Linked DNA regions of Drosophila melanogaster. The protein of the gene in region 2 interacts with the protein of the main gene of each other region in a pairwise test. Each region holds a gene or a part of one and is shown on either strand. Other genes may lie near its edges. The genes, in order: spartin, Tbc1d15-17 and Atg8b.

Evidence for each region.
Region 1: the proteins of Tbc1d15-17 (region 2) and spartin interact in a two-hybrid assay, tested with the Drosophila melanogaster proteins (one large-scale study listed by BioGRID).
Region 3: the proteins of Tbc1d15-17 (region 2) and Atg8b interact in a two-hybrid assay, tested with the Drosophila melanogaster proteins (one large-scale study listed by BioGRID).

Annotation. Positions count from the first base shown.
Region 1 is NT_033777.3:4,650,010-4,661,202, reverse strand, and holds spartin (spartin), read right to left. Parts: upstream 6,404-11,193; 5' UTR 6,124-6,403; intron 6,045-6,123; exon of another isoform or gene 5,933-6,044; intron 5,686-5,932; 5' UTR 5,671-5,685; coding exon 4,548-5,670; intron 4,301-4,547; coding exon 3,994-4,300; intron 3,623-3,993; coding exon 3,391-3,622; 3' UTR 3,218-3,390; downstream 1-3,217. Other genes in the region: Karybeta3 (karyopherin beta 3), read right to left, coding at 7,114-7,751, 7,867-9,220, 9,310-10,404, 10,469-10,618. UniProt on the Drosophila melanogaster protein: During postembryonic development, functions with endocytic adapter Eps-15 in neurons to restrain synaptic growth, by inhibiting BMP signaling, and to control synaptic endocytosis. Required presynaptically for neuromuscular junction (NMJ) neurotransmission.
Region 2 is NT_033779.5:202,437-213,908, forward strand, and holds Tbc1d15-17 (TBC1 domain family member 15/17), read left to right. Parts: upstream 1-4,742; 5' UTR 4,743-5,075; coding exon 5,076-5,195; intron 5,196-5,274; coding exon 5,275-6,172; intron 6,173-6,292; coding exon 6,293-7,422; 3' UTR 7,423-8,070; downstream 8,071-11,472. Other genes in the region: mRpL10 (mitochondrial ribosomal protein L10), read left to right, coding at 1,434-1,455, 1,557-2,281; CG11617 (uncharacterized protein), read right to left, coding at 2,608-2,776, 2,836-3,507, 3,565-3,608; kis (kismet), read right to left, coding at 9,749-11,472.
Region 3 is NT_033777.3:17,723,849-17,732,842, forward strand, and holds Atg8b (Autophagy-related 8b), read right to left. Parts: upstream 1,216-8,994; 5' UTR 1,063-1,215; coding exon 700-1,062; 3' UTR 562-699; downstream 1-561. Other genes in the region: Lgr1 (Leucine-rich repeat-containing G protein-coupled receptor 1), read left to right, coding at 4,535-4,858, 5,366-5,520, 5,609-5,683, 5,764-5,841, 6,319-6,393, 6,455-6,520, 6,584-6,652, 6,708-6,782 and 8 more.

The DNA.
Region 1 (11,193 bases), on a different chromosome or scaffold from region 2:
AAATGCAATTAAACCAACTTTCCAATGATGGATTTTTTCTTTCGATTATAATTCAGCCGTTTTTCCCCGTCTTTTTGCCATTACCTTATTAGCTAAAAACCTGTAGCCTGTAGCTCGGGCAATGACGATAATGATGATATCAAATAAATGACTAGGCGCCCGAGTGCTGCAAGTTTGAGCGGTGAGAAAATTGGCATGCAAAGTGAAAATGTTTTGGGGAAAAAACCTATCAAAGCCAACACAGAAACGCATGTCGAGGGTGTCGAAATTTTTTTGAGACACATTTGTCGAACATCAAATTCGAAAGCCAGCAGATCGGTGGATGGATCGCAAGAATGTACAACTCAAGCTCACAAGCCTCACTCCAGAACACGAGCCTCCATCTACAAGTTCCGCCTGACCAACATGATCCAGGTCCCAGAATGCTGCTTGAGGTCATATCCCTAGTCCTGGTCATCACAACGTTATTTTGCTGCTACTGTTGCGTCAGATGAATGGATCTAAGCGATCCGCTCAATGAAGAAAAATCTCCGAGAGAAATGTGTTTTACCCAATCCTACTTTTTGATATCCGTTAGGAAAGATAGGAAAGATATTAGTCTTCATTTTTCGAATGGACCTTTTTTTATGTAAACTTCAAGCCAATAGTTACAAATTGCATAAATAAGCACGTTACTAAGACAATTGGCTACCTTTTTACACTTTTCTTTTCTACACTTTTTACGGTTTCAAAATGCAGATTTTGAAATCACTTATTCACTTATTATTTACTTTATTCATTGTGCAGAAGCTGAAAACACTTACCAACAAAATTCGAAGCTCTGTTCGTTGCTGGCACAGATGCTGTTTTTTACACAGTTGTTTTTCGGCGTTCAATTACATATATAAAAACAATTCAAAAGAATGGCGAGTCAATTGGAACAGCCACTGCAGAGTCCTAAAGTTGTTGTTGTTGTTGTTTGGAGCTGCTTTTCGGGAACAGGCCAAAAATCATTAGAAATTTCTATACTCGAGCGAGCAACACGTACACACGCACACATACGCACTCGCACACAGAGGCGCACCCACACACACTAATAAACGCGGGCCAGAAAATAAAACGGGAAACGTGTTTGCTTGTGTACTGTTGTTAGAACTGTTGTTGTTGCTGCGTTCGCAGTTGGCTGTTTACGGCAGTCGTTGTTGTTTATACAGGTTGTACATATGTATTTGTGAGCGAGAAAAACAGTTTTCCGCCGCGCCGTAATTGCAACTACTCAGCTTGGTGGATTGGACTCCCGTCAAAATCGGAAATAAAAGGCACTACCCACCCACATACACACACAAACACACTTCTGCCAACTCTCCTCCCTCAACCGCACAAGCGCCGCAGTTGCACCTCGACTGAATTCACGATTTTACACTGCACAGGTGCAGTGCTGCGCAAAACAAAACGCAAGACTCTCGGATCCGAACTCCGTGGCTTTGGGCTTTTCCTGCCTTATTTCCCGTGCGCACATATGTACACATTCACATGTATTCATGTACCAAGGGGCGAAATCACGTCCGAGCGGGGAATTATGTGCTTGCGTGCCGCGCTAAACTCTTAGCCACCTCCTTTTGGCCGAGTTCAAAACGTACTGCCGAGCGTAGGAATTTGTGGATATAAAAATGGGGCGGAGTGTGGCCAGCTGAATCAGTTGAGGTGGGTCGAATCGGACTACGAGCGGTATTTTTATCTGTCCGCAGGCAAGGTCTCTCTGTACGCTCTTACGTTTTTTGTTACGTTGTTCGGCGAAAAGCCTTCAAAATAATTAACAACTTTCTCGGTTTTTGAATTAGTACGTAAAGTATTGCATACAAAAATCAACGAGACGCTGATGGATCAATCTATGAAGCTTTGGGATCAAATAATATATAATATTATATAATGATATATGGCGGAGTTTAAAACCAAACCAATTTCAAGATAATTTTTTATTGCGCGTCCCGAAAGTATGCTACACCCATTCCTTTTTTTTAAATTTATTTATTTAGAAGCGATGAATCCATACAATGCAGCAATAGCAACATAACAGCGCAATTAACATATAAATGATAAAACCAAACCTCTCACTAATCATGTGAGGATTTAAACACCCATTCCTATTTTCAGAATGGAACTCGCACGAGAGCTAACGTTTGAAAACAAATGTATTCATTTACTTTACTTTTTTTATATATCGACTGGTAATTCTTAAGAATAAATCTCCACCCTGTGATGCTAAGATACAATATAATTATGTACGGATTCTTTTTAATAAATATATATAAAAAAATGTATTCATATGATTTTGACAATAATATGAGTATACATATTCCTATATTCTCCTAATATAAATATTAATAGGATAAAAGGACTATAATAAGGTAAATGTAAATATAGTCTAGGAGAAAGTTTTACCAACAATAGGGGTTATAGTCATTCATGTTATGTTATGTTCTGATTCGGGAGCTGAACCCTAACTAAATATATGGGCTCCTTGATATATGACACTTAGGACCTATAGAATATCACATTCTATATCTCGTGTATAAAACAAAACGTGAAGTTTTACCATATTTCGCCAAAGTATATATGTGGGGTTCATCGCTCGTTATATAAATTCCTAACTTGTTTATATAAAATTTGACTCGTTCCGCAAAGTTTTTGCTTGATCAGAGTGCTTTTTAAGATAGGAAAAAAGAATAAGGAATAAGATAGCTATATAGAGTCTTAGGAAATGGTTAGGAAATAATGCAAATAACATAACCTTTTCAACAATATAAGATTCAAAAGTCTGTAACTTCAGGCGATCGGAAGCTATGACAGTACTTACGAGGATTTAAAGCCGCTAAATTAGACGGCTTTTTATTGATCGTCAATCTAAAGATACTTAGATCAACATTTGTTCACAATTTACATGGTACGTTCATACTAAATTCCTTGCTAAAATTGTTAATTCTTTTAAATTAGTGAAAGAGGACTGAGTTGTGTATCAAAAATCAGGACATTTTAATTTAAAAACAAAAGATACCCGATACTTAGCGGTTGGAGTGCTAGGAAGCTAGAATTTAGGTTATACAAATATACAAAGTGAATTAAACATTTTTCTTTTTAATACTTTCTAGCTTCGGTTTATCTACAAATACAAAAGTAAAGCATTTTTGAACACTAAAATAAGGTTTTGATGCAAAATCTTTCGAAATATCTTTTTTATGTGTTATTGAACATAATATTTATTTATATTTTTTCTTTTAATTAGAAGCTATAAATGGCATATAAATATTTCAATATAATAATAATAATAATAATAATAATAATAATAATAATAATAATAATAATAATAATAATAATAATAATAACATGTGATAAATTCCTTTGGTTTTCCCGCTATTCCTTCAAAGCTCGAAGATCCGGATAAAGAGATCCGGCATTAATATAATGAGATTCCGATTTGCGTAAGTCTCGCTTGTAGTCACTGACCACAGCTTCTCCTGTTCGTTTGACCATTTTCTTGGCAATGCCCTTCGGGGTTATGTAGTTCACGTTCTGACTGACCACGAAAACGTTGCCCACCGTGTCAAAGGTGCCACTAGCCAGATTCCCCGTCTGCTGGCCATATCTGAAATAGCAAATAAATATATGTAAATATATGAAATATTAAAAATGCCCGCACTATATGTTTTTCTTTTTCGAAGGCGAAAGAAACCCAAAATGAATATCTAGATCTTAGTAGACCTTTAGTAGCATTACATATTTGAGACGATTCACAACAAGTTATAAAACTTTTCTTTGTGTGCAAGCTTGAGTAACATTTCCCGATCCTTGATCATTTTTGCGATCCTCTGCACATTGCGCATAACTTAAATCTCAGATATATTTAAATTGAATAAACCGTTGCCAGCCTAAGTGATTACTTTCAATTCGGACGAAAATTCGTAATGACATCTGTTACAAAACTGCATAAGCATTAAGAAGCCAAAGCCAACCCACTTGTGTTCGATTATCTTGACGGAGTTTTCACTGAGGCTGGAGCCTAGGATCTTGGCGGAAGTCTCGAGGCCATCGAATACGGTGCTCACTCCTTCCACGGCTCCTGCCGCGATGGTCATGGCGCCCTCCATGGTGCTATTAGCCTCGCTGGTGTCGTAGCCAAATCCCTTCTGCAGCAGTTTAGAGCCTTGCTCCTGAATGTGGGGAGCCAGGTAGCGGCCGACTGCCATTGAAGCAGTGCCCACCTTTCCAGCTATCCATCCTGTCATTCCGGCTGCGGCGTGCGTCACTTTTTGGGCCACCTCAACTATAATGAACAAAAGGTTACAACATAAGATACATTAGATCTATCTTATATGTAATCTGCACATTTCCAAACCATTGATTAACATGATTATCAAACACAAGCACAAACTCCGATCGAGGTGGAAGTGTAGTGACGATCACATCTTCGACTTCGAATCTTATCTTCTAATTTTATCGTTACATGCTCATTCGGAAGCTACCATACTTCCGCCCTAAATACAGCTCTTCCCTATTTGGAACTAACTCACCTGAAGTTTGGACGGAGCTGGGCACCTGAGCATCCATCGAGGCTGGCGTCATCTTGGAAATGATATACGGAGTACTCCTAAGCATAAAGCCTCCTGTCTTCTCGGCGCCCCGTACCAGGTTACTAGCAATGAAATCAGCCGCACTTACAATGTGTCTGGACACCTGCTCCGACCCGGAAACGGTATCTGAAGCTAGGCCAGCACGTTGGGAGGTCGGCGATTTCAGCTGCACTACCGTGCCAGCGAGTACGGCCTCCAACAGGTCAAGAAAGAACTGCTGAAGATCCTCCAGTTCGTCCTCCGTGCGCGATGTCTGGCCCTCCTTCGTTAGCATCAAACCAAATGCATTGCCCGGCTGCTGGCACTCCATATCAGGAAAAATAAAGGCTCCGTACTCTGTTTGGTAGCAGTTTGTGATCGAGGGAACCAGGGGGTAAAGCCAAATCCCTGCAGTCCCCTCATTTGGCATGGAGCACTGAATGAAGTAGATGCCACTGAGGTACTTCCATTTGCCACCCACGGTGCACATTACCAATGACATAGTTGACGAGCCGCTTATGGTGGTTACTGATCCACTGGCTTCGATTCGGTACATTTTGACCTGTGCACGGAAGAGCTCATCGAGCAAGACTTTGGCGTCCCGAACAGCCAAGAGCTCCCGCAAGCCGGCAGCGAGCTCTCTGTAGGTTTTTGGTGCTCCGCTAGCATTGGCTATGCCATATTGCGTGGAGGGGTTTTCCGCCAGCAACGGCGGCCTTTTTGTATCCATCTCTGCTCGACTTTCCTCCGTGGCCTCCACGGCTGAATCATCAATGGATTGTTTCTGGGATCGCAGAACTTTGAGGCGGTATCTCAATTCCGTTTCGGCGCTCTTGAGCTTTTGGATCAGCGCACAGGCGTCGTTCCACTCCGCCTGCACGGTGTCGATCTTGTTGGGAAGACCTACTGGAATGCCGAAGGTGTCCTCTATCATACGCAGGGCCAGCTCATAGGCCACAATGGCCTGGCCGGGGGATTCCTGCTCCTCGTGACTTACGGCCAGGTCCACCTGAGTCATGGCCGCTTTGTAGGCTGTTCTGATGCCAGCATAGGCCTCCAGGAATTCGCTTTCCTCCTCCGCCATCGCGGCCTTTAATACCTAAGAAACAGCACAGAAACATTAGATACTATACAAAAAACCAAAGCCCTCAAAACTTTAGTATGTAGAACTAAGAATCTATTAAAGTCAATGACTATGGTTATTTATGGTTTAGTTAGTATACATGTTCTATGTGCTGTCTTTATTCTTATGAATCCCCCTTTCGCAAAGTTCTGTGTAAGTCTTATAGTGCAAATTACTACATATTTTGTTAATATTCGTGAGATTTAAGATATTGTAAACGAACTTGCTGGCAGAGATACATCCCGACGAGGCGGGCAACCGCGACCAACTAAAAGGGTGACCAAAATGCGTCACCAAAGTGGGAATGACGCGCTTTTACATCTTCTCCTGCAGCTGCTCTAAATTGAACTGTGGCCAACGAAACCGCATCCGCCCTTCCGCTGCACTCACCGTCTACCTGTTGCACTCACTCACCTTTGGGTTTTGGTTTCGTCTGATTCTGAGCGTTTAATCTGCACTTTGCCCACCAAGTCACCTAATGATTTAGAAAGCAAACAGAGAAACGCTCTCTTTCGCTATTTTCTCACTAATTTTACGAATTATTTTCTGCTCCTGTTTAGTCGCACACCTTTAAAGTGAGAATATCGTTTGCCTAATATCACTTAAATTCGTAAATAACATGTTAAAATGTGTGTTTTCCATTCGAGTTGAATGTTCCAAGTTTTTCCATCTTTGTTTTGATTTGCTTACTTTCCATTGCGAATCAGATCAGCTGTTTAGGAGGCCTCTGCATGTTCACTGCCACAGACAGAGTTGCCACAACGACTTTTGAAAAGTCTTTTGCGGGAATCGAATTTGAAATTGAATGAATGGTTAATAATAAAAAGCAATACTAAAACATAAGCTCGTGGCAATTAAAATATCGATTTACTTGTTATTTATTTCGTTTTTATCATGTTTAAAATACAATAAATGTTATTCCTTTAAATATATTTGTCGATCCTGGTTTGAATGCACAAAATTATATTTCGTTCGATTCGGACAACGTTTACATCCTGTTTTCCCCGCAGGGAGAGGCGGCCGTTAGGGCCGTATATACACACATATGTATTAAACATATGAAAATTTGAGTAACGAAAATATTCTATTGGAATTTGGGTGTGATTGGGATGGCATTTGGATCGCATCCATACAACATATCAAATTCTAACGAGGCAGACTTTTGTCTTCGGGAGAAGAGTTTTGATTAAAATCACAATATGTATAGAATTATATACCCGGATAACTCTATTGTACACATAAATGTATATCTGTATAAATGGATATCTATGTGTTAAACATATACTTCAAAATTTCGGTAAGATGAAAAATAATGATAACGAGTAGCTGAAGCATCCATCGTTCCTTTCTTGGCTTGGTCGACATGAATGGACTTGGTCTGAAGAGGATTGGGATTGCGATATCTTAGGCGGGAGCCACGTTTGCCAGCTCCCGGTAGGCATCCTGCAGCGCCTGCTGCTGTTCCGGGCTCAAGGTGCTGGCACAAGCAGCCATTACCTCCGGATTCGATTCCACTTGTTTGACGATAGTGAGCATACGAGTGCCGGTGGCGGACTGCGCCTCAACCACCTTGGTGCAGAAGGATTCAGCGATGATGGAGACAATGCGCGGCAGATTGCCGTTGTTTGCCCCAAGAATGACCGGATGGTTGCCTTCAATCAAGTCGCATAGGTAGCCATAGATGTGGGCGGCTTCTTCCGAATCCTCGGACACCGGCAGCCATGAGAACCAAACACCGATCAGCTCGTCCACGTTGCTCAGCGCCGAGTTGTTGTACTTGAGGATCTTAGCAAACGCCGAGATCGCATTCTCTGTCGGACTGATGTTCTCGATTTCGCGGGCTTTGGGATCGTTGATGACCTGCACCAGCAGTGGAATGATCTGGGCGCATGTATGCGCAAACTGCTCACCAGCGAATTGGCCGAGCACCCCGCATCCGTAGGCAGCCGCCTGGCGCACTTCTGGGGCCTTATCGCACACGTACTGGACGAGGGCTGGCGTAAAGATCTGCTGGTATGGAGCACAAGCGGGGCCACAAAATTCTGTAGGTAAATGAGAATACAAGTCTTTAGTTTTATGGTGGCACAAATGATTTGATGTTTGAAGGTATCGGCGGTACTATTGAACTGCAAAACTCAATTAAGAAAACCAACTCACCGATCAGATCATCGAACACGCATAAGCCCCACTGCCGATCAGCTACAGGTCGGCTGGGCTCCAGTAGCTTGACAAAGTGCGGAGCCACCTGTTCAAAGGCGGGTAAGAACTGAGCCTTGTTGGTCTGGAAAAGGGCGTGTGTAATGTCCACGATTTTGGAAAGGATGTAAACATCTGTGTCGTCCTGCTCGGCCAGCTCCTCCTCCACACCGTCGTCGTAGTCTTCCTCATTGCGAGCCGCCAAACGCTTGTCAGCACGCTCGAAATGCTCCAGAACATACTTGTTTATAATCTCGAGAACTTGTTTCATGGCATCCTCGTTAAGGCAATTCGGACCCAATGTCTCAATGCATTTTGCCAGCGAATTCAGCAGCTCCGACTGCACGTCTGGCTCCGGTTCCGTGACGATTACCTTGAGCAGCTCCGGACAAATGAACATCCACATGCCCTCCAGATACTGTGGACCCTTAATTTTTGCGCAGTCGAGAAGGTAAGGCAGCGACTCAGCAGCAGCTGTGCGGACACCGTCGTGGAAGTAGAACTTAAGCATGGGCAGCATTTGACGCACCACGTCCTCAGCGTATTCGGCAAATCCTTCCTTTAGTTCCCTAGCATAACAAACCAGCATCTCACAGGCCGAAGCCTTGTCGTCCATGCCAGCCGTGCGAATGGCGAAGTTCTGCTGCTCGCCAAGATTAATGAAAGACCAGTCCACATCACCGTCGATGTCCTCCACCTCGTCGTTGTCCAGCATCGCCACCTCAGGCTTCATGGTGGCCGTTCGCATCACTGGTCCCATAACGAGGGGCAGATATTGCTCAAATTGCTTGCCAAGGATTTTGCACATACGTGCCCAGGCAGTGATGAGATAGGAGGTCTGCGGATCATCATCAGCTAGTTCCCCCCCCTCGGTGTGATTGACCAGCAGCATATCCATGACTTCTCCGGCATCACCAATAAACTTCTCCCGCCCCACCGCCAATCCTATCAAGCTCACGCATTCAATGGTCTTGCCGCGAAGCATGCGGAGATCATCCGAGTTGGCGTTCTGGATGATGAACTTAAGGCATGGCATTAGGCGATCGTAGTAGGCCACAAATTCCGATTCGCAGGTGTCTGCAACCGATGCAATTGTCGTCACTACCTGCTCCAGTACCAGCTTGTTTCCCTTCTCCACCAGCTCCTTGAACTTCGAGTTCAGAATAGTCTCCAGCTTGGCCATGATCCCGTCCAGGTAGCGTGTCAATATATTTTTCGGGCAGTCCTCGCTGAAGTTCACCAGAGCGGCACCTGCGTGTGCTTGCACTCGCGGATTTTCCACGTCATCCAAAAGAGACAAGAGGCCGGGAATCACCTGGCGAAACAAGGGAAAATTGTTAAGCATTTAATTAATTTCAATTGCTTATTAGAAAGTTGATAAAGCAGTTGCAATTTAAGACTCACCTGGCTGTGGAACTTCTTCTCGAAGGTCTGTGCAAAGTCGGTGGACATTTGGCCAATGGCGTTGCAAGCGGCGTATCGAACGCGAGGATGAGGATCGCTCAGGAAGTTCAGGACTCCGGACATTACCTCATCTAGGATGGCTTCCATCTGCTTGTGACAACCCTCACCGATGGCCGAGATGGCCATGAGGGCTGCGAAGCGATGTTTCCAATCGGCATGACCCAACATAACCGGCAGAGCGTTCATTACGAGCGGAAGCACAATCTTTCCTCCCAATCCACAGGCGAGGCGATCCAGCGAGGACTCGGCGATCACGTTGTTGTCGCTGTGATCGTCATCATCGACCACGTCGGCGGTGGACCAGTTCTCGTCATCATCCAAATCCGTCATCATATGGAGAATCAGCGGGATCAGGGCCACGATATACTTGTCCGCTCGCTTGCGTATCATCGACGGGGCGTTCTCGGCGAGCGACACCATAACTTCCAACACTAGGTGACGCCAGCTGTCCTCAAAGTCCTGCGAGCTGAAAACCTTCATGCAGACCTCAAAAATGAACTCCAGCTGGGGACGCAGGAACTTCGGGCAATTCTCGGTCATCTCAATCAGGAGCTTTAGCAGACTCTGATCATCCTGGGCCTCGATGGTCTCGCCAGTGATGTGGATCATGCGGGGCAGCATATCAGCGAAGTGCTTGTGGATGGCCGTCTCGTTCTCCTTGTCGTGGTAGAGGATGAAGGCTCCGACGGCTCGCACGGCCTGTACTCGGACCTCCGGATCGGATCCAGCGTCCATGCTCTTGGCAAGCATCTGCTTGATCAGATCAATGTACTGAGCTTCCTGGTTTCCAAATATGGAAGGCACACTAGAGAAGATCCGCAGTGCCGATTCCTGCAGCTGCGGCGTAGGCGAGTTAGCGCATTGAAAGAGAAACTGCAAGATGTCGGGCCACTGGTTGTTGCAGTCCTCGTCGATCAGATTCCTGGCCACCTCGGCAACTACCTCGCAAATCTTGCGACGCAGCTGCGGCGTCACCTCCTGCTGCACGGCCAAAAGGATCTGCTGAAGCAATTGGTTCTGGGATTCAGCTGGAAGCTGCAAATGAGGTAATATTAGAAAGATGCTCAGAGGGCGATTCTCTGCGCGGCTTTATGCCTACCCCTTTGTAGAAATCAAAGAACTCGGTGGTAAACAGGCGGCGCAGCAACACGGCGGCCATCTGTCGAGCCTCCTCCGACTGCTGGCCATTTTGGATGTTGCCCAGGAGATGCGTCACCTTCAGCTCTCTTGAAAGATTGTTGTATGCTTCCTGGAATTAAAAATGGTTTTTGTACATATCCATTCGATGTAATTTTAAAATATATAAATATTATTTATATATGTAAATACAATTCCACCTTGACAACATTGGGCTCTGAAACAATTTAAAACGGATCTCGATTATTTCCATCTCTCAAGTGAAAAGCAAAGTCACAATTCTGAATAGGTATTTTTAGCAATCCAGGTGGAACTTTGGGTGGAAGCGGTACCATGCTTGCCATCTGCCCAAGGTCAACAGAGTGGGTGGGGTTTTCTGGCTGGTGTGGCGTGGGCGTGGCGGTGCCATGTGGCGCCGGAGCGAGACTTCGGAATCCGAGTGGCTTATCAACCGACAGATTGCATTTCTGGAACCGTGTGTCATGGATTTCGCACCTGCTCTTTGTTTCCGTTTGCGGCGGCAATCGGTAAACCGAATTGCCTACTACGAATTCTAATGGAAAATCATGTGGCGGCCATGCAAATTGCACAATTCGCTTCCATTTTGCTTTGTTTGCTTGCTTCGCACCGTCTGTCCGTCGGCTCTCCCTCGCACACATGCGAATGTCGGGGCAAAGCGGAGGGCGA
Region 2 (11,472 bases):
TTCTATTCAAGTAAAAGATACGGTAGTTTTCGATTTAATGATGTAGGTCTTTTGTTTGCAAAAGACGGCAAATTTTTGTTTTTTCTTTACATTTTTTATCACTTTCACCACTGCCACAAACCTAACTACAACGCCCTGGTCTAAATCTAAATGTAGGTGTTCCGATCTCCCACTTCCCACTTTTTAGTTTTTGTGAGCGAAACTTTGTACAATGTTGGGTAGTTTCAGGATCCTTCATTATGTTTATACCATAATTCTGACACCCCACAAAAAACCAACACGTAAACATACCACTCACAAAATAATACAAAAATCTATATACTACTCTCCTTGAACACTCCCTAAACTTAAACGTAATTTTTTACACAACTTGTAAATTATGTAACCGGAATAATATAGAAAGCAAAACACACGAGTGAAAAAAAAAAACAAAAAATAAAAAAATACATCTGTAACATATTTAAATTATTTAGGCTCTAACAAGTAAAAAATGTAAATACAGTTTAATTAGTGTTTAGCGTGTATTTAGTTGTATGTTTTAAAACTAAACCTAAAAGAAATCTGTACATTATATAACATAATTAACGATACAAGAACACGAGAGATCAGATCTATAAAAGGTCACCCAGAAACAGATAAACAAAAGAAGTTTAAAAGTGAATAATTCAGAAAATAAAAAGAACACGTTTTCAAGAAAAAGCATAGGAAGCGCTGTTAAACAAATGTTAATGTATAAGTTGTATGATTTAAGAGACTTTTTAGTTATTTCCTAAGTTACATTGAAGAAAAAGATTAAATTACACTTATTTCATACACTTGGTTTGTTTTTTATTTTCTTCGCTCCCAGATTCTATAGGTTTCTCGGGCCGTAAATCCAAATCGAACCCCATAGCGAAATACAACTTATACATACATATATACATTATATATATACATATATATATATAGATGTTAATGTTATAACTGTAATTAAATAAATTCTATACCTATGCAATCGTTGTGGGTTTTTTGGGGATTATTTTTACCAAGCTATATGCAGTGTGGAATCGATTAAAATCGGGAGCACATGTCCAAATCAGGATTAGCAAAAAAAATTACCTCGTCTTCTTATTCTCCTCTCGGCACATTTCCTATATCGTGTGAGAACCTTATAGGTTTAAAGTAAATAGTTCTCACACATGATTAAAATTGTAATATTTAATCAAACAAACTACTGACTATTTATTTTTTTTAATCTTATCTTTAAACTAAAATAAACTTAATTGTAACCGAAGAAGGGCTCGACGAGGTGGCAACGCTAGCCGGCGAAATATCGATGAAACCAAATATCTGGCTATCGATAAGAATGAATAAACATCGTTTTAGTAAAAATAAAGTTAAATAAGGAGAAGTTCTAGTTTTAGAGATTAGATACCTTAATACAGTTCTACAGCATGGCCACCCTGATACAAAGAAGTAAGTTGGACGGTTCATAGCGGTTGCCATTTTGAGCTTGGCCTGTTGTGTAACATGTAACATCTATGTACAAGCTTTTACTGATGTGTAAATGATTTTAGGCCTTTCCCTGGCTAAGAGCAGTACTCCTGCGCTACAATTTCTTCGCTTTAGGGGTAAGATCAATATACAGCGGCCGAAAGCACCGCACTACGAGCGGGCCCGGGTAGTCGCAGTCACGCAGCCGAAATATCCGGAACTCCCAAAAGCTAAGAGCTGCTTCAAAACGCGTGCGGAGCGCACGCAACAGCAGCAGGAGAATCCATACAACGAAATCATCGCACGAGAGGTGCGGAATTGGCTGGATCATTCCCGACTGGTTGCCTTCTTTCACTTAAGTTCTATAACCGCCGATGACATCTTCCGCGTGCGCGTTCAGCTTCACAAGCAGAACCTGCACCTCAAGTCCTACGGCAGCAAGATCATCGAACAGGCGGTGAAGAATACTCGATACGAAGCGATTGTGCCCCTGTTCCACTCCAATCATTGCATCGTCTTCTCACCGGACCCGGAAAAGACTGCCGCACTGCTACGAATCGTTCGCAGGGTGCCGCAAATGGTCCTGCTGGGAGGCATCGTGGAGGAGACCATGCTGAGTAGGAACCAGCTTGTGGCCTACGCTCAGATGCCCGGCCTGCACGCGGTCCAGGCACAACTTGTCCAGACCCTTAGTCAAGCACCTGGCCACCTTATTCAGCAACTGCAGGCCCATCAGAACAGTTTTGTGCAAGTTCTTGATGTCCATGCTAAAAACCAGATGAATGAGGAAACGCCAAAGTCTACGTAGAAGTCAAAAAAGTCAAGTTTGTTATATAACAAGAAATCAAAAATTATATAATTGTTTTTCACTCTAAACTAGCTGTAGTAATTCTTAACTCTCGGCGCAACCTGGTTTTCACGTTTACATGAATATGATCGTCGTAGTTTATCACATAATTTAAATGAGTGTAGCTAAAAGGTTTTAAACTTGAAGAAAATCATGTAACGAGTGAGTATTGTACTGTAAAGTTCGAAAATGAAAACCAGAAGAAGCCCACTTGACTAGATTGCACGTTTTAGCGGGGCCTGAAACTTCTGCTGGAATGATGGCGTCAGTTCCGGAGTCTTCAGTCTTTAGATATGGTGCCAGCGCTGCCTGCAGTTGAAGGCGAGGTTGGCTAAGGCCTCTGCTGCTTCCAGTTCGTCCTTATGATGAAGCATCCAGCGTCCACCACGACCAGCCCCAGACACATCTGTGGTAAAGATCGCTTGTCCACAACTGCTATTACTGCTAGCTTTCTGCCTAAAGTGAATCGATTTTTATTTATCAAAATTCACCATACCAGCCCCGAATTGCCTTACCTGGTCATATTCCACTCGATGTGATAATTGTTCCTGTCCGGTGTGAATTTTGCTGCACTTTCCAGCCACTTGTTGAGTTGCGTACCCTGTTGACTGGTCGTTTTTGCCGTGGAACTATCTCGCATATACTTTTCCATCATCTGATGCTTGTACTTGGTCTTACCCCCTGTTTGTGCTGATATCCGCTCGGTCAGACCTGCAGATCCTACAAACAATATCGGCTTGTATGGGGATGAAGGTTCATTATTGGCATTGCCATCGCTACCAGTACTGTGGCTGGAAAACTCTTCATTATCGTCGCCTTCGTCATCCTCCGCAGGACATGAGTGCATCTCCTCCTCCCAAATGCTATCCTCCGACGAGATGCTAAATTGTTCCACATTACCCCTTGCATTGTGATTGTAATTTTTGATCAGATGGCCCCAGGATTTCTTGGCTTTCTCTCGCTCCGAGTTTTTAAGCTTTCTTCGCCAGTTTGCAAACCAATTGCAAATCTGAGTGTAAGTAAGTCCAGTCTCTGCAGCAAGCTGTTTTTTCTCCTCCCTGCTAGGATAGGGATTCTCCCGGCGACGAATTAACCAGTCCTTTAGCATCCTCTTAATGTCGGGAGTAAATAATCTCTTTGTAGCTCGGGATGCTGGATGCAACTCCTCCTCTGGTGGCCAGGCTCGTCTGGAAAAGCACGCAAAAAGAATAACTACATCCCAAAAACAATTTTTCAAATCTTACCTGCTGTGTCGACGATTTCGTTTAGGCCGCGTTGACTTGTCCATGAGGTTCTGAAAACAAGGAAAGTAATTTAAAGAACTGACACAGAATCGCACACATCGCTATCTCTGTTAAAAATACCGTGTAAGTCAATTTAGTTTTTGAACTTTCAGTGGGTGGCGCTATTTCTGGCGCACCGATTTTCATGTTTTTTGCTCTGTGGATATTTCTTGCTCTCAAAATAACGAAATAAATATTTTTGTTTGCCCAATCTCAGAGCAGGAGAGCTCGAGAGCCAGATGGTGATATCACAACCATCATGAGAGTTTTTTACTTTTCGTAACAGAAGTAGAAATCTGTTAAGGGATTTTTTTTCGTCCACAACTGCTCGCAATAAGGTTGTTGTTCATGTTGTTCATTCGTTGATAAAATCCGCAAAAAAATAATGCCAATGACAAATAGTGCCAAAACTCACACAAGTTAAAATGTAAAGTTACTACATTATTAACGTCTGGAAACTTTGGGAAAAGTCCAATTACGTAGGAGATGCATCGCATTTGTTGACATTCTTAGGCCATTTTGCTAACATTAATTATATAACTCGAACTTAACGTTATAGACTTGTTTTTTCGCACCGAATTAAAATTGGAATATACGTATATGTATTGGAAAATTTAAGCTATTTTATTCTAGCTTAGCTCTAAAATGTTCTTCACCCACCTATATTTGGCTTATATTTTTTGATAATGTGTCATTATATTTTATAATTTTAAAATTGTCGAGTGCTTGTGCTTTGTCCGACGTTCTCGGGCGAACTAAACTCTGAGTTTTCAAAACACCCAGAAGAGGCAACGAAGATCATTATCAAATAAGACGGATTCATTTAACCTATTTACAAAATACAACTAGATATGTTTGCTTATTTTAAAATGATCTCTGTTCTCGGTGAAATCGACGAGAGTCGAGAGAAACTAAATTGATCGTGCTCTGTTGCTCTGCGAATTACTTGACTCTCGATTGGAAATGTTATGAAGTGATTATGCGGGGTAGGCGGACAGGATAAAATCATTACAAGTTTTTATACAAACTAATTATGAATTGAACTGCAGACTAGAGAGCAGAGCAAAGCGTACGCCGTTTCGAGGAATTCTAGAGATACGATATTTTTTGGTTCGCCTGGCCCCTTATCCAAGTAAATTATCATATGGTCCGCAAATTGCAAAAGACATAAAAAAGAAAGAGATTCCAGACCCTGCGAGAACGGAAACACGATGAAGTATTGGCTAATAGCAGTTTGCAGTTCTAATAGCAATTGACTAATTTCGCTGCCAGACTTCTTGTAAACTAAGGCTGCCACACCGATGGAAAAATGTCACGGAATGTGGCCATTTTTACCTCGGTGATAAAATACCCCCATACAAAACGCTGACATGTAAAATTTAGCACCTTCGTGGGACAATTGTTTATATCTGAAACGTAATAGCACAGGCTAATTTGAACTATAATACAAGAAGACATAATTGCCGGCAGCCATGGACGAATCGGTGCGATATGACCGCTGTCACCAGGTGCAGCTGGGCGTTTTCAACGAGTCGCAGTTGTCTTCTGTGGAGGAGGACGTGCAGAATCTGCCTCAGCAGGGAACGGGAAACGTAAGTGTCTCGTTTTTCACCTGACTCATGGATGTTCCTTCCTTACTGCCATTATGTTATTCCGTTACACGATCCAAAGATCCTCTTCACCCACGACGGCGTGCTTCTGAAGAAAGCCAGTGCGGAGCACATCGCGGATCTGAACACCAGCGGCTCCCTTTCCTTGGTGGAATATTCGCGATCCATCGCGGAAATGCCCCGTAGGAGACTGTTGCTCGAGTGGCAGCCCAATGACAGTATCATGATTGCGGACGACAGCCAGGATCAGGGAGACTGGGCGCTGGTAGACAGGATTTCCGGGCGAACACGCACCACATCCGAGTGCCGTGCCTTCAACACTAGACCCATTGAACCGAGCGGTGGAGCGACCACCCGTTCGCGAGTCATGCGTGCCCAACTGGAAGATTTGTCTTCTGTAGAGGTGCGCCATCGCGGACAGACGATCCGTTTTATGCGGAAAGGGGCTAATGGCGTCCACAGCGAGTTCTTTTTCCAGCATGGAAACGCAGACCTATTTGTGCGCTCCATGCGCGATCAGCACCTAATCGAGAACGCCGAGACTAGTCGCAGTGGCGGCGAGGTGTATGCCATATTGACCACCGAGAACCAAAAATTGAAAAAGACGTTTGCTGAACTTGACATTGGCCAGATTAAGGCAAGCCAATTGCCACGTGAGAGCTGGCTGCCCAACAAGCTGGCCGGAATCCTGGGCAACATTCCCGATTACGTACAGCCTCCGTTCCAGCGTTCGCCCAAATCTAGGCCGGGAGTCTTGATCTCTGGCGATCGGCAGACTTCACCGGACAATTATCAAATAATTGGGCTAAGTGGCAGCACCAATAGTGCCTGTTCCTCAAACGGACAGTCTCGTGGGGGCAGTGCAGAGAAGTCTCCCGCCGACAGCGAGCTGGAAACTCTTAATGCCCAGGACGAAAAAATAGTTAACAACTTGCCCGATCGCCAGCGGGTGGAGAGAGGTGGGTTGATATTAATTCTTAAAAGAGAGTTCTTGACACTTAAAAAGCTTAAGAATTTACTAATAGAAATAATTCTTAGGGTTCCGAACATGAGTTTATTAATATATTTTTAATGGACAGGTCATCCCCTAACCGAGACGCAGTGGCTAGAGTTTCAGACGCCCGACGGCCGAATTTCCGATAGCGCCCGAATCAAGGAGCTCATCTTCCGCGGCGGCGTCGTGCAGAGCCTGCGGCCAGAGGTTTGGAAGTTCCTTCTCAATTACTACCTTTGGTCGGATACTCATGTGGAGCGGATCGAGCGTCGTAAGCAAAAGTCTATTGAGTACTACAACATGAAGGCCCAGTGGCTTGCTATGACTACGACCCAGGAGGCGAATTTCTGTGGCTACCGGGAGCGCAAGTGCCAGATTGAAAAGGATGTGAAACGCACAGATCGCTCTTTGCAATTCTTTGCCGGAGAGGATAATCCCAATCTAACCCTTCTCCAGGGTATCCTTATGACATACGTGATGTATAACTTTGACCTTGGTTATGTTCAGGGTATGTCCGATCTGCTTGCGCCCATTTTGGAGATCCAGGTAAACGAAGTGGACACCTTCTGGTGCTTTGTGGGCTTCATGGAGCTGGTGTTTACCAACTTTGACATAGACCAGGCGGGCATGAAAACGCAGTTCGCCCAGATTCGTCGCCTTATTGAATTTGCCAATGCCCCGCTATTTAACTACATGAGATCCCACGACTCGGACAACATGTACTTCTGCTTCAGATGGCTCTTGGTTTGGTATAAGCGGGAGCTAAACAGCGAGGACGTTTTGAAATTATGGGAATGTCTGTGGACTCGGCTACCCTGCCCCAACTTCCACCTACTGTTTTCGGTGGCCATCCTCGATCAAGAGACTAGAGTGATCATCGACAGCCAGTACGAGTTCACAGAAATCCTGAAGCATGTAAACGAACTGTCTGGAAACATAGATGTTCAAAAAACCTTGCAGGTAGCTGAGGGTATCTATCTGCAGCTCAAGGGCTCTGAAACGTTGCCCAATGACATACGTAGCATCATTGGCGAACCACTCTTGCCAGCAGCCGCTGGTGAAGAGATTGATGGGGGCATGGTAGATGAGGAACCTACTTACTCGGACGATGGCTTCGACGAATTGGTGAAAGAGCTCACTCCCGAAGAGAAGGTTAGGCAGCAAGCTTTGCTTGAGGAGGCCTGCGAACGCTCCCTCTTCCTTCAGTTCCACTAATTAAAGTGGAATAAAAACGATGGACACCTGGAAAAAACAAAGCCAATAGCCCACAGAAAAGTATGCGCAAATTACGCTGCCCTTCAAGATGGTTGCCTAACTAGATTATATTTGCGGTTGCAAACTGTGGGTCGTATCTATTAATACTGTGGCTCATATAAATTCACTGTTACAAAAAAGATCAATCGAGAATCTGACTGTTTCTCCGTGTTTAACACGAGTCGCCCGTAAGCGTCCGCAAAAAAAATCATATTTTGGTAAACAAAACATTGGAGCAGTGTTAGCTTAGACTATAAGACTTAAAGTTTACTCTCGCATCGAAGCTAAGCGAGGCGGGCCAAGCGGATACACTGATTTATATATTGTATATTATACATTTGTACTTTTTTGTAATTATTGTAAGTTCTCTTCCTCACCTCAAAACCAAAACACCCTCATCCTATATTCGATCACCTCTAATTATATAAAGAAATTAGTTCTCGTGCCTGTGAACTCAAAACATTTTAGGTATCACTTTGCTTTATCGGACTTCAACACGCCTGTCTTTTTTTTTAAGTTTAGTCAATTACTGTGAATATACATCCGTATACAAGTACATTACAAATGCATAGCAAAAAGATCTAAAATACAACTCCAAAATTCACACATAAAGAACATTGCTTTTTATATGCTGTTTTAAGGATACATTTCGGAATTAATCCATCAAGAACTTGACTGCCATTTGTATTCGGGTGGCCATATCCTGGAACGGTACGGCGTGATCAAGGCAAATGCCTTGCGGAAAAGTTTCGTTAAGGGCATACGAATCGCAGACTTGACCAGGCTACCTTAACACGTCTAAAAATCGAGGAGCTCAGTAATAAATCGTATGTTAATGTAATTTTTAAAATTTATTTTTTATATATTTATTTATCATCAATATCAATAGTTGATGCTTGGGTGTTTCTTGCTGTTGTTGCTTCTTCTGGTTGATGTTGCTTTTGTTTGTTGTTCTGCAGTTATATAATAATTTTAATTACGAGTAATACTTACAAATTAAGTATGCAATATATGTGGTTGTTTGTTTTGCTTTTTTTTTGTGTGCCTTGTTAACGTCTCAAAATAAATTGTTCTCATAAAGTGCGGATCAAATTTGTCCATAATTCATTTACTCAGCTGAATAATTATACAAAATGACCTAAATATTGCATTGCTGCTCATCAAGCGTGCAAGATTCATATTCTCGGGCTTCTCAATTACAACAAAATTGATTTAATTAAAAAATTCTATTTTTCAATAAACACTTCCCACCTGTTAGTTACGCGCCAGGACTTGCATGTTGGTGTCGGTGGTTCATGGGACACACAAGTGTATAATAAAACATACGAATTACAAATACAAGAGTTTAAAATATACGCTTGAAAGATTGATTTGCGCCATTAGCATTCCATCCTTTCACATTTACTAATTACAGAATTAAAATGATCAAAATTACACGCAGCTTTCGGGGACACACATAAAGAATAGAGAGTTCAGTATACAACATATTGGGGATGGAAGTGTGGAAAATGGTTTAGTTTGAGGAGAATACATGGTGCCTTACTATATTAAAAACAGTTAAGCAATACGAGTCATTTTAAGATTATGAATTATGTACAGGTATTATATATGTATAGAGACTGCATGTGCCAGGACAGCGCCAGAAACCCAAGTATATGTGTCTCTACATTTTATGCATGGATAGTGTTTTGTTTAAACATTTTTCTGTCGCTTATCAATTATACGTTTTAGCAATAATTTAAACGGAAAATCCTCGTCGTGCAACAGCACTTTGTTTCTCTTGTTACAATTAAATTATAAGCGCTTTTTAATTATGTTCGTAATTATATAAATAATTAAGCAGCCAGAGGAAGGGACACTATTGACTTATCAAGCACCATATAAGCAGCAGATGAAACTTGAGTAAGTCATGGGTAAGGCGCTCTGCCCTCCAGTTCAGACGGAGTTGCAGCAGTGTCGAACTTTATGGCGTTGAGACAAACCCAAATCCGTTTTCTCCAAATTGGCTCCTAATCTCTATATATAGATTATATATGGTTCTTATACTTTACACAACTTTAAGCTTAAGGGATCTAGTGGTAACAGTTAACCTAGCATTTAAATTTCGCCTCGATCTCGTTTGCATCCGCATCTGCAGCTGGTTTCTCATCATCTTTCTGTTGTTGATTTTCTGCTCCGGTGACTTGCATGTATTGGCCGGATTGGCTTCTCCTCTACGCGATTTTCTCCGGCCCTTAGTATGGGCCGTGTCATTCTGCTAGCGCTGGCGCTCGGATCTGCGCAATACTCATTCGTTCCGTTCCTCCGCTCCCGATTCGCTTCCAGTTGAAAGATTAAGCGTACTGGCATCTGCCGAAGAGCGTGTATGACGAGTGGATCGCAACTCCCGTCGCTTCTCAGGCGGTTGTCCTTCCACGGAACCAGATCCTTGTTCGTTACCAGACCTCGGACGCTTCAAGCGATTGGAGGAACGTCGATTCTCTTCAGCCGCCGCTGCAGCCGCAGCAGCTGCAGAACTGGAGGATGAGCCACTCAGATTAGCAGCTGAAGTATTTTCAGCTGTATCCAGATCGTCCACGCTTCCGCCATGACTACTGCCTGGATTGGCAGCGGTAGGCTTTTTGAGTATGGGCTGTATAATTAGCTCATCGGCTTCTTCGTAGGGCGGCGGTAGTTTCGCGGCATCCGCTGCATTTGTTATGGTTAGCGAAATGCGCGACTCGGAGCGTTCGGAACGCTCGCTGCTAGTGCTGGCTCCACTGCTAATGGGAGGAGCTATGGTTATTGTAGTTTGACTGGGCAGATTAGCTGCCAGTCCCGCAGCAGCTGCTGAACTGGAAGAGGACCCCGATCCGCCTCCAGAGGCATTAAGGGGAGTCAATGTAACTTTATCCTGTTCCGCAGTCATGGGCGCTGGTGTAGAGCTGCTACTGGAACTGCTTCCGCCTCTTAGACTCTTTTCTATGCTACTCATGCTGGCACCAAGATTAAGGGGTAAGCCTGCCGCAAGGGCGGCCAATTCCTCCTTTGTGGGGTGTAAATCCCCACGTGCTCGTTTGGATAGCGCCTTCTGCTGTTGTTGATGCTGTTGCTCTGCGTCCAAAGCTGCAGCATACGCAGCTGCTGCTGCGTTTGCTGCACTAGAGGATGCAGATGATCCTCCCGCCGAGGATGTGGGTATCAACGAGATTCCTGATCCCAGACCTAAGGTCTTGGTATAATAGTCCATCTGTTGCTTAAAGGCATCCTGTTCACGCTGCCGTTTCGAAGAAGAGTGGCTAGTGCTTCCTGAGGCAGAAGAACCACCACCTCCAGCAGAGCCACCAGTTAAGCCAGCCAAACTAGCTAATGAACCTGGACCACTAAGAGGAAGGGATCCCCCCGCAGCCGCCATTGCCTGTGCAGCCATTTCAGCTAAAAAGGCCTGTGGGAAATCGCTGGACATGCCAGGAATTTGTGGTAATTGAGCTGCCGCTGCTGTCGCAGCTGCTTTCGAGCTCTTACTAGAGGAAGTGGATGTTCCCGTATTTGATCCGGATGTTGATGGCATTTTGCCTTGCGAGAAAGCTTGAAGCGCGGCTAAATCAGTTGGCAGAGCTCCTCGGGCTAAACTTTCTAACCACTTTTGCTGTTCCTTGGCCTGAACGTTAGCTTCATTTGCGGCTTGGCTGCTTCTCTTGCTTGTAGATGTGTTACCTCCACCAGAAGAGCTCGGCGTTCCTGAAAGAGGCGGCATTCCCAGGGAGCTCATCAGACGTGTTGCCTGCGCCAAATCCATGTTGCTCATACGGCTCAAGGACTCGAGAAGATGCGGATCCGCTCCTGGCATAAGTAGACTACTGAGTTGAGCCATGTCTGCTGCTGTGGGTGTGGTTTGGGACTGATTTCTGCTGCTTGATTGCCTGCCACGTCCGGATCCTGATGCTGAAGTTGAAGGCGTGGTAACTGTGCTAGCGCCACCGCCCATGCTGGCCATAGCATTCATCAGACTTGCTGCTGAGTTGGCAGATG
Region 3 (8,994 bases), on a different chromosome or scaffold from region 2:
GATCGAATTTATTTGTGAACCCATATATTTATATTTACTTTTTCCATATAACCATCTGGAAGTTTTCGAAGAATACAGCCCATGTAGATTAGTTTGATAAACAAAAGCTGTATATCAAAGGGTTTGGAAGTTGTGGGTGGGTGTCTGACGGAATAAAACAGAAATAAAATCAATTCGAAATTATGATATAAAAATTTCCTTCGCTAATCCATGGACACGGTGTCAACAAGTTTGTCTCACCACATTGGACTTGGCTTCATGCGACACATAAACCAACTTGTTGAATCTTATTGCACGCCTTTGGAGCACACTTTTGCCCGATTTAAACTGGTTTTATGTCTCATATTTTCATCAATTAGTGAACTTAAGCAAACCATACGGCTATCGAATATGTGAATTATAATTAAGCCGAAGCAGTGAGTCCACTAAATGTTTTTTCGAGCGCTTCAATTAACTTTTTGCGGCAAGACCAGGGGCAAGGGATTAGCGGATGCTATGCACCCACTTCCAACGCGGGGGAAGCACATACTGCGATAATTATTGTTTAGCCCAGCATGTGCCATGTGATGACGACGTTGTCTGCTTCTGGTTAGCTGGCTAGGAGCAGTCATTCTTTATTGAGCGAGTAGTGCCAATGGCAAAAAATGACAATTGAAACTCAACCGACCGCCAAAACGATTACGCGAGTCAAGCCCGCGTCTACTGCCGTCCATAGACGTTCTCATCGGTATAGGAAATGTAGAGGAAGTAGTCCTTGTCGAAGTGCTCCTGGTACAGTGCACCCATGGTGGCCGATGTCGGTGGGATCACATTGTTTACGAAGAAGAAGAGGGCGTCGTCGGGACGCAGATTGATACGCTTGCGGATGAGAAAGTAGAACTGGCCCACTGTCAGGTCCGCCGGCACCAGGTACTTCTTCTTGTCCAGCTCCGCGTAACGCGTCTTCGGCGCCTTTTCCACGATGACGGGCACACGGTCCGGATACTTGCGCCGGATCTTGTCGCCTTCGTTGCGGCGCTTGTCGAACGAGTGGTCCTTCTTGTACTGGTAGTTCATATCCATCTGGGCGGACTGGAATACGGTTCGAATCGAAACGGAGCGAAAAATGGGTTTTCGTTTTGGATTTGGTACGAAGGTCTTATGTAGCTGCCGGCCTGAGTTGCTGGGAACTATGTATGATTTATCACCTTTACTGCACAGATAGCTTTGGCAGATAGAAAAGTGCCTGCTCTTCTCGGATTTGAATGGGAAATGGGAGAGGGAAAATGTGATTGTAATCAGGTTTAGTATTCATTCCTATTCATGGAAAAGTATATCTATACCTTTAACCAATCAGGAACATACGAAATTTGTTGGAAATTCTAAATTAAAGAAGAACTACTTATATATGAGTGCCAAATTTCCCTAGGGGCTTTCATGGTGCTTACACACATATTTCTTGTATCGTTTTCATGCATCGCTCCAATTAATTAATTTGAAGTATCCCATTACCGTTTAAACTGTTAATTGTAATTGTGTCCTTGGAATCGCACTACGAATGTGCTGTGCAGGACTCCTCGGGCTAGAAACTTTCCATTCCATACTTCACTGGCGCATTTATTTTATATATTTTCATTGATTTAATTAAATATTTTGTAATACGACAAAAACTATATAAATCCCTGCAGTTGGCACCGCTCTATGAACCTTTTTTTGCAGGCCGCCCCAAGGCGACAATTGGCCCAAAGACGTTACAATCAAGGCTCCCAAGGCGCTGACCACAAGGGAGCTCAACAAGTGTATGTGCTGGGGGCGTACAACTGCGAAAGCTTTTACCTGTACCGACCGCAACGGCAACAATGCACGCAACACACGCAAAGCTGGAGCAGATGTGTTGTTGGGCTCCGTCGTCGCTGGCTGCTCGTCGCTCGGACAGCGCTGGAGCTCTCATTCCGCCATAGCTGCTGGAGCTGCTCGGTTGTTCGCGTTCGGTGCCTCGGCAGTTCAGTTTGTCGTTCTACTTCACAGTACTACTACTTGGAGCAGTTCGTGCATCGCTGGTTTCCGGTTGTGGCCTGGGCGTAATCCCTTGCAACAGGTGCACTTCAGTTCGGACGAAGACAACTGCAAAATACCTGGGATATTTACGCTTCCGGTGAGCAACATGTCCAAGAACGGACCCTTTCGATTCGTTAGAAAAAGGCGTGTGTGTGAAATAATCTTTCGGAAAATCCATTATAATTCAGAGTTTATACGCTCATGTGATGGTCGAAAAAATTGTTAGTCCCACGATCTCTCCTTTGATGTGTTGTGTGTGTTTGCTGAAAAACCAGGCCATAAAGTTATCAATTTTCATTTTGCCCAAAATTGATTCTTGATTTTAGTGGCGATTAGCCATAAACACGGGCAACTAATCTATGTGTGCCTGTGTACTGATTGTGTGCGGCAATTGCTAATTAAACTCACGGGTGCGAAACAAATCACCAATTGTATTCCACAATCCGCAAAAGTAATCGCCCTAATGGTGTTGCTTTAGCTCACCTAGAAATGTGCAGTCCAGAGCCCATTCGTTTGTGAGATGATCTGAGATTCGATAGAAACGTACGGATTTTGTGATGTGGTTACCGCATACCTGCTAATAAGTCCATGCTAATAGACTTCAAAAATCAGAGAGATTTCTTTGACTGGATAGATAGAAACGGCCATGCGCTTTCTAAACGCACAAAATACAATTTTAAAACAAATTAAAATGCACTTTGTTGGCTTGGAGACACACACACACGAGTTTTTGCGGTCAGCCAACTGGCAAAAGCTAATTTGATTTATAAAACAAATGCGTATCTGTTTTCTCCTTTTCTCGTGAAAAGTGCATAAGAAATAACAGAGCAATTAGGTAGGTAGGTAAAAATTGAAGCTTTTCTGGCCACTGAACTAGAACATTCTAATTTGATTTATATGAACAATATTGCGACTTGCGCCTAATAAACTCAAACTGACTTGTTTTACCATGTTGTTAATGCGGCAATTAACAATAATTCGTTAAAAACGACACCATAACCGTTTTTTTTTAGGGTCCAAATATGAGAGCATTGCGTTCACTGGACCAGAATCTTTGGCGTTCCTCCCACTTAATCGTGTCCGCCTGGTTTAATTACTCCAACTTGGTGTCCGCCATTCAAAGGGGAATTAGTTAAATGGAATGCAAGAGTCGTCAGAGTGGATTTAATCCAATTGAACGGCTGCTAACTATTCGGTGTTGATTCGAAATACAAATAATCAGCCAGAGCTGCCAATCAAGCGAAATATTGTGTAAATAATTGATTTAACTCATTTTCTTGGCTTTGTCCGATGGCCCAATGATAGATTTTGTATATTCAAATGATTTTTTTTCTATCATTTTCTAAGCAATGTGCGTCACATATTTGGATTTTCGTGATGATTTTTTTTTTGTGTCCAACTGCCATTGGAAAATCGGTTGCCTATTATCTGCTTCATGGCCAACGATTGCCATTGAATTCCGGCAGAGGTTCACGGTAACTTTCGCATTCCGCCGGAGGTCGCCCAGCCGTAGGTGCTAATTAACTCGGAATTCTACCTTTAACGGAGGGCCAGAGTTATAGCCAGATTGTGCATTCCGGGCGAAAGATCGACGCCATAAAGCTAGCTGGAGCACATGCCAGAACAAATATTGGCTAATTAAGAAACATGGTTGAAACATGGCGCACAGCTGTCGGCATTCTTTGAGGTTTCTGATAAGCGGCCAGAATTCAAACAGAAATAGTTGTGGTTCTGGGATATGGGCTATATGGGGATATATCCACCGAAAACTGAGCTCCCAGCCAATCTGGGTTTATGGCAGCACTAATTACACAAAACTGAATGTTTCAATTAGCGGGCGAGAACTAAAATTAAGCAATAAAACAGAGAAATGAAATTTTATAGGCCCCCAAAAAAACGTGACCCGAAATATTTACGCATACTGGTGTCTAAAAATAATACCATGGATTAAATATGAGCTTTATGCCTGCATATAGCATATGTTAATTAACGAACTCCATTCGATATTTGCTCAACTTCTGTTTGCCAGCCCCTTTTAGCCAAGTAAGTCAGTGTCCTCTCGACCATATTTCCTTGCCCATGGGCTTCACTGTAATTGCTTGCCCAAGAAATTTGCTGGCTGCTGTTCGCAACTGATTTCAATTTATTCGATTTGTCGCTGGCTTTTGTACGGTTTTGAAAATCAATCAAACACGCGTCCGCGCCTCACAACGTGACCGTCCAATTCGCGACATGCCAAATATCTGCGGATCAGCAGGGATGGCAGTGAATTGTTTGCTCGATGCTATTTAACTTTATCATCAGCTTGATGGCTTCATTAGACACTCACTGAAACGGCTCCTGGTCGTTCCCATTTCGTTCCGCACAGGCTACGGCTACAAGATGCAGACGCGCATCCAAAACTAATTAGAAGTGTTTACGGCTACGGATATTTGCAGAGGAAATGAGCCGAACATTATGTACCTAGGATCGCTGGACGGAAAAGACAGTGAGAGCCATGGAAAAGCACCCGAGTCTGTCCCAGCGGATGGGTACCACTTACCGTCCGAGGAAGGGCCTGAAGTGTCTGTCATTCGAGTTCCAGTGCCGCCTGCTTCTCCACCATCTGCTGCTAACGTCGCTGAGTGGCCGGCATTTCGTATACGCCACTAGTGCCGTCGGGGGGGCGCTGAGTGCCAACAACTGTCACGACATCCACCACGGATTCGATGTCTACCCCAATCTCACGGCCGTATCGCTGGCTCAATCGACGGACACGCCCCTGACCGCGACGATGCCACGGTCCGCCTGGAAGTGTTGTTGCTGGAATGCAAGTAATCAAGTAAGTGACTGATAGACGCACACTTTCTACTTAATTCTATATGTTTACCAGCTATGCCAGCGGCCTCCAAAGTCAACTGCAGAACTTGAAGGTTGGGTAAACAGTGAAACTAGAAGGCAGATCCGTTGGCTCCTGTTTTAGTTGAGTGTCCACAGCAACTTTAAGCCTTTAAGTTCCGAATGTCAGTTAATTGAAGTAGTCAAACAGCCAACATGGCATTTTCCACCGACGTTCATTGAGTTTTAGTTGTGATTTTGACTAAAATGAAGTTACCCACTAACTTTATTAATAACTACTAACAGCCAAAGTTCAAGATCACAGAATGTCAAAGGGTCGCCATCGATAGCAGGTCGTTGTAAGTGAAAGGCCTGCGCATTTATTTTTAGAATTATACTAGGAAACTAGGTTGAAATATGAGGTTAACACTGCTGGCTATATTATTTATTACTTTCCCAACTGCACGACTCCCACGCACCTGGATAAAAACATATTCCACTATTTCCGCAGGCGGAGGAGGTGGAGTGCCGCTGCGAGGGCGATGGACTGAATCGCGTACCGCAAACCCTGACGCTGCCCATACAGCGTCTAACTATCGCATCGGCGGGGCTGCCACGCCTACGCCACACGGGGCTGAAGGTCTACGGATCCACGTTGCTGGATGTGTGAGTTATATTGCGATGGATAGACATATCCACCGACATATCCATATCCTCATTCCATGCGTTTACTAATCGTCCTTTGGCTTGGCAGGGCCTTCACCGACTGCCTGCAGCTGGAACTGATACAGGATGGCGCTTTTGCTAATTTAACCCTATTGCGAACAATGTAAGGCTTGATTTTAAGTGGCGGCTTCAAGCGACCGACCGACTGACTGACTCACTTATTACCCTTTATTATCCTTTCAGCTACATCACCAACGCACCCAAGCTGACTTTCCTCTCGAAGGACGTATTCCTTGGCATTTCGGACACCGTGGACATTATGTGAGTCCAAATCTAGCTCTAGATGCCCCATCTGTGGGGCATTCATCATGGGGCCTTCGTAGGGTGGCGGCCAAGTTAATAAGCACACACAGCTGTGTGGTTTTTTTTTTCGGCCAGAAGATGGGGAATATGTTGTGTCATCGGTAAAAATAGCACTCAATGCCCATCTACGCGGATTTGTGCGCATTCCTACTTCAATATGTTGCCTAAATTGTCTGCTATGTCGAGCATTCCTCAAAAGCATTCTGGCTAAAAAAAAAAATGCAATTTAATGAACATGGTAGAAAAATTTATTTGTCCATCATGCAGAAATAAATATTCGATTTAATTGCTCTGCGCTAACGGCAAAATACAAATGTAGAACTATTTACTTTAAACTTTATTACACAATATTTTAATTAATCCTGCTGCGGGAAGGATGTGGGTGTGCTCATGAAGTTAACACAGTCTAACAATAGTGTCACTTTACTCCCACAGACGAATCATAAATAGTGGCCTGACCAGAGTTCCTGACTTGGGCCACCTGCCACCTCATAATATTCTGCAAATGATGTGAGTAGCAAAACCCAGCTTACCCTTTGTGGTACTAATATGTACCCTATTTTTTCCGCAGAGATCTCGATAACAATCAAATCACTCGGATAGACAGTAAATCTATAAAAGTAAAGACTGCCCAATTGTACGTATAAATGGTTTATTGCCACACATTCAAGTAATCTCTGAAGAGCTCTAATCTTTGCAGAATTTTGACAAACAATGAAATAAGCTACGTTGATGACTCCGCTTTCTTCGGCTCCAAGATAGCCAAACTGCAAGTTTAACCCAATTTCAAATAGTAAATAGTTATTAATCATGTGGCTTTTTAGATCGCTGAAGGAAAACAAAAAACTGCAAATGATGCATCCCAACGCATTCGATGGCATCATAGACATAACTGAACTGTAAGCTTGGAAATTGTATCTTTATTGCATTCGCAAGATTTAACCCTTTGTATTTGTATCTCCATAGCGATCTCTCCAGCACCTCGTTAGTTGGCCTTCCTTCTGCCGGACTTCAGAACATCGAAGCGTTGTACATTCAGAACACCCACACTTTAAAGACCATACCATCCATCTACAACTTCCGGGTGAGTAAAAGTCACTTTCTACCAAATAATTTAAGCCCAAAGTTGCGTTTTTTTTATAGAATCTGCAGAGGGCCTATCTCACCCACTCCTTCCACTGCTGCGCCTTCCAGTTTCCATCTCGGCACGATCCTCAGCGACACGCCCAGCGGATGCTGGAGATTGAGAAATGGCGGAAGCAGTGCAAAAGTGACTCCGGAACGCGAAAGGAGAGATCAACCTTGGATAACCCCTTCAATATGCCAGAAGATTTTGGTTCTTTCGGTGGCACCGACGACTCAGCAACAGATATAACCCCCATCACTTTCGCTTCCTTCGATTACATGGCCGATGACACCATGAACAAGGGCACTTTTCACGAAAAGATCATCCTGAATCCGGGTGATGACTCCTCGGCCGAACTTTGCGGCAATTTTACTTTCAGGTGAATTAATATTCTCTTCATTTAGCAACGTCCGGTACTAATAGGAGATATTATTCCCTGCAGAAAACCCAATATTGAATGCTATCCCATGCCCAATGATCTAAATCCTTGCGAGGATGTAATGGGCTATCAATGGCTGCGTATTTCCGTCTGGATTGTGGTGGCTCTGGCCGTCGTGGGCAACGTGGCTGTGCTGACAGTAATACTATCGATTAGGTAAGTCGTTACATTCCCATTTGGCCAAAGGCACTCAGAGAAACTGAGGGTCTAACAATTTCAAGGGTTCACCCTACGACGAATGCTTTTTACTGCTTTAAACTAGTTTGTTAAAGTGCCTATAATCTCTTACCTTTCCAGGCCGGAGTCGACGCCGGTGCCGCGATTTCTGATGTGCCACCTGGCCTTCGCCGACCTGTGCTTGGGCCTCTATCTGCTGCTGGTGGCCTGCATCGATGCGCATTCCATGGGGGAGTATTTCAATTTCGCCTACGATTGGCAGTACGGTGGGTGGTGCAGCTGATTTTGTGGTGCCGGCATGGATTTAGCTTACAATGTCTTCTCCATTTTCCCGCAGGGCTTGGCTGCAAAGTAGCCGGCTTTCTCACCGTGTTCGCCAGTCATTTGTCGGTGTTCACGCTGACCGTGATTACCATCGAGCGCTGGCTGGCAATCACGCAGGCCATGTACCTGAACCATCGCATCAAGTTGCGTCCTGCAGCGCTCATCATGCTGGGCGGCTGGATTTACTCGATGCTTATGTCCTCGCTGCCCCTGTTTGGCATAAGTAATTATTCGTCGACGAGGTGAGCAAGTAAATATGTCATTCTGCCCGAGCTTTGTGGTTCAAATGCTCGGCCCTCGTTCATTGCAGCATTTGCCTTCCGATGGAAAATCGCGATGTGTACGACACCATTTACCTGATTGCCATTCTGGGCTCCAACGGAGTGGCCTTCTCCATCATAGCCGTCTGCTATGCCCAGATCTATTTGTCCTTGGGTCGCGAGACACGGCAGGCCCACCAGAATAGCCCGGGCGAGTTGAGCGTTGCCAAGAAGATGGCCCTTTTGGTGAGTAGACTTCCAAACTGCAACTGTAAGGATGTAAACTTCTTCTACTACTACTACTAACTTCCTGTAGGTCTTTACAAACTTTGCGTGCTGGTCGCCTATTGCTTTCTTTGGACTCACCGCGTTGGCCGGATACCCACTGATTAATGTTACCAAGTCGAAGATATTGCTAGTCTTCTTCTATCCCTTGAATTCCTGCGCGGATCCCTATCTGTATGCCATATTGACGTCCCAGTATCGCCAGGATCTGTTCACCTTGTTGTCCAAGTAAGACGATAAGACGGCCATCGTGGTAAAGCAGATCAAAATTCATACCAACTTTGCATTCTTTCCAGATTGGGCCTGTGCCAGCAGAGCGCTCTGAAGTACAAGGATAGCCTTTCCGGCCAAGCCACCACCAGATTTACAATCCACGGCTCCATTCAGAGGCACAGCTCACTCACGTGCAAAATGCAGACTGTGATGGGCGCTGAGACGCAGAAAATGCTGAAGAACAGCGAGGATTATGTTTAAACCGAACCCGGGTATTGTGAACTCAC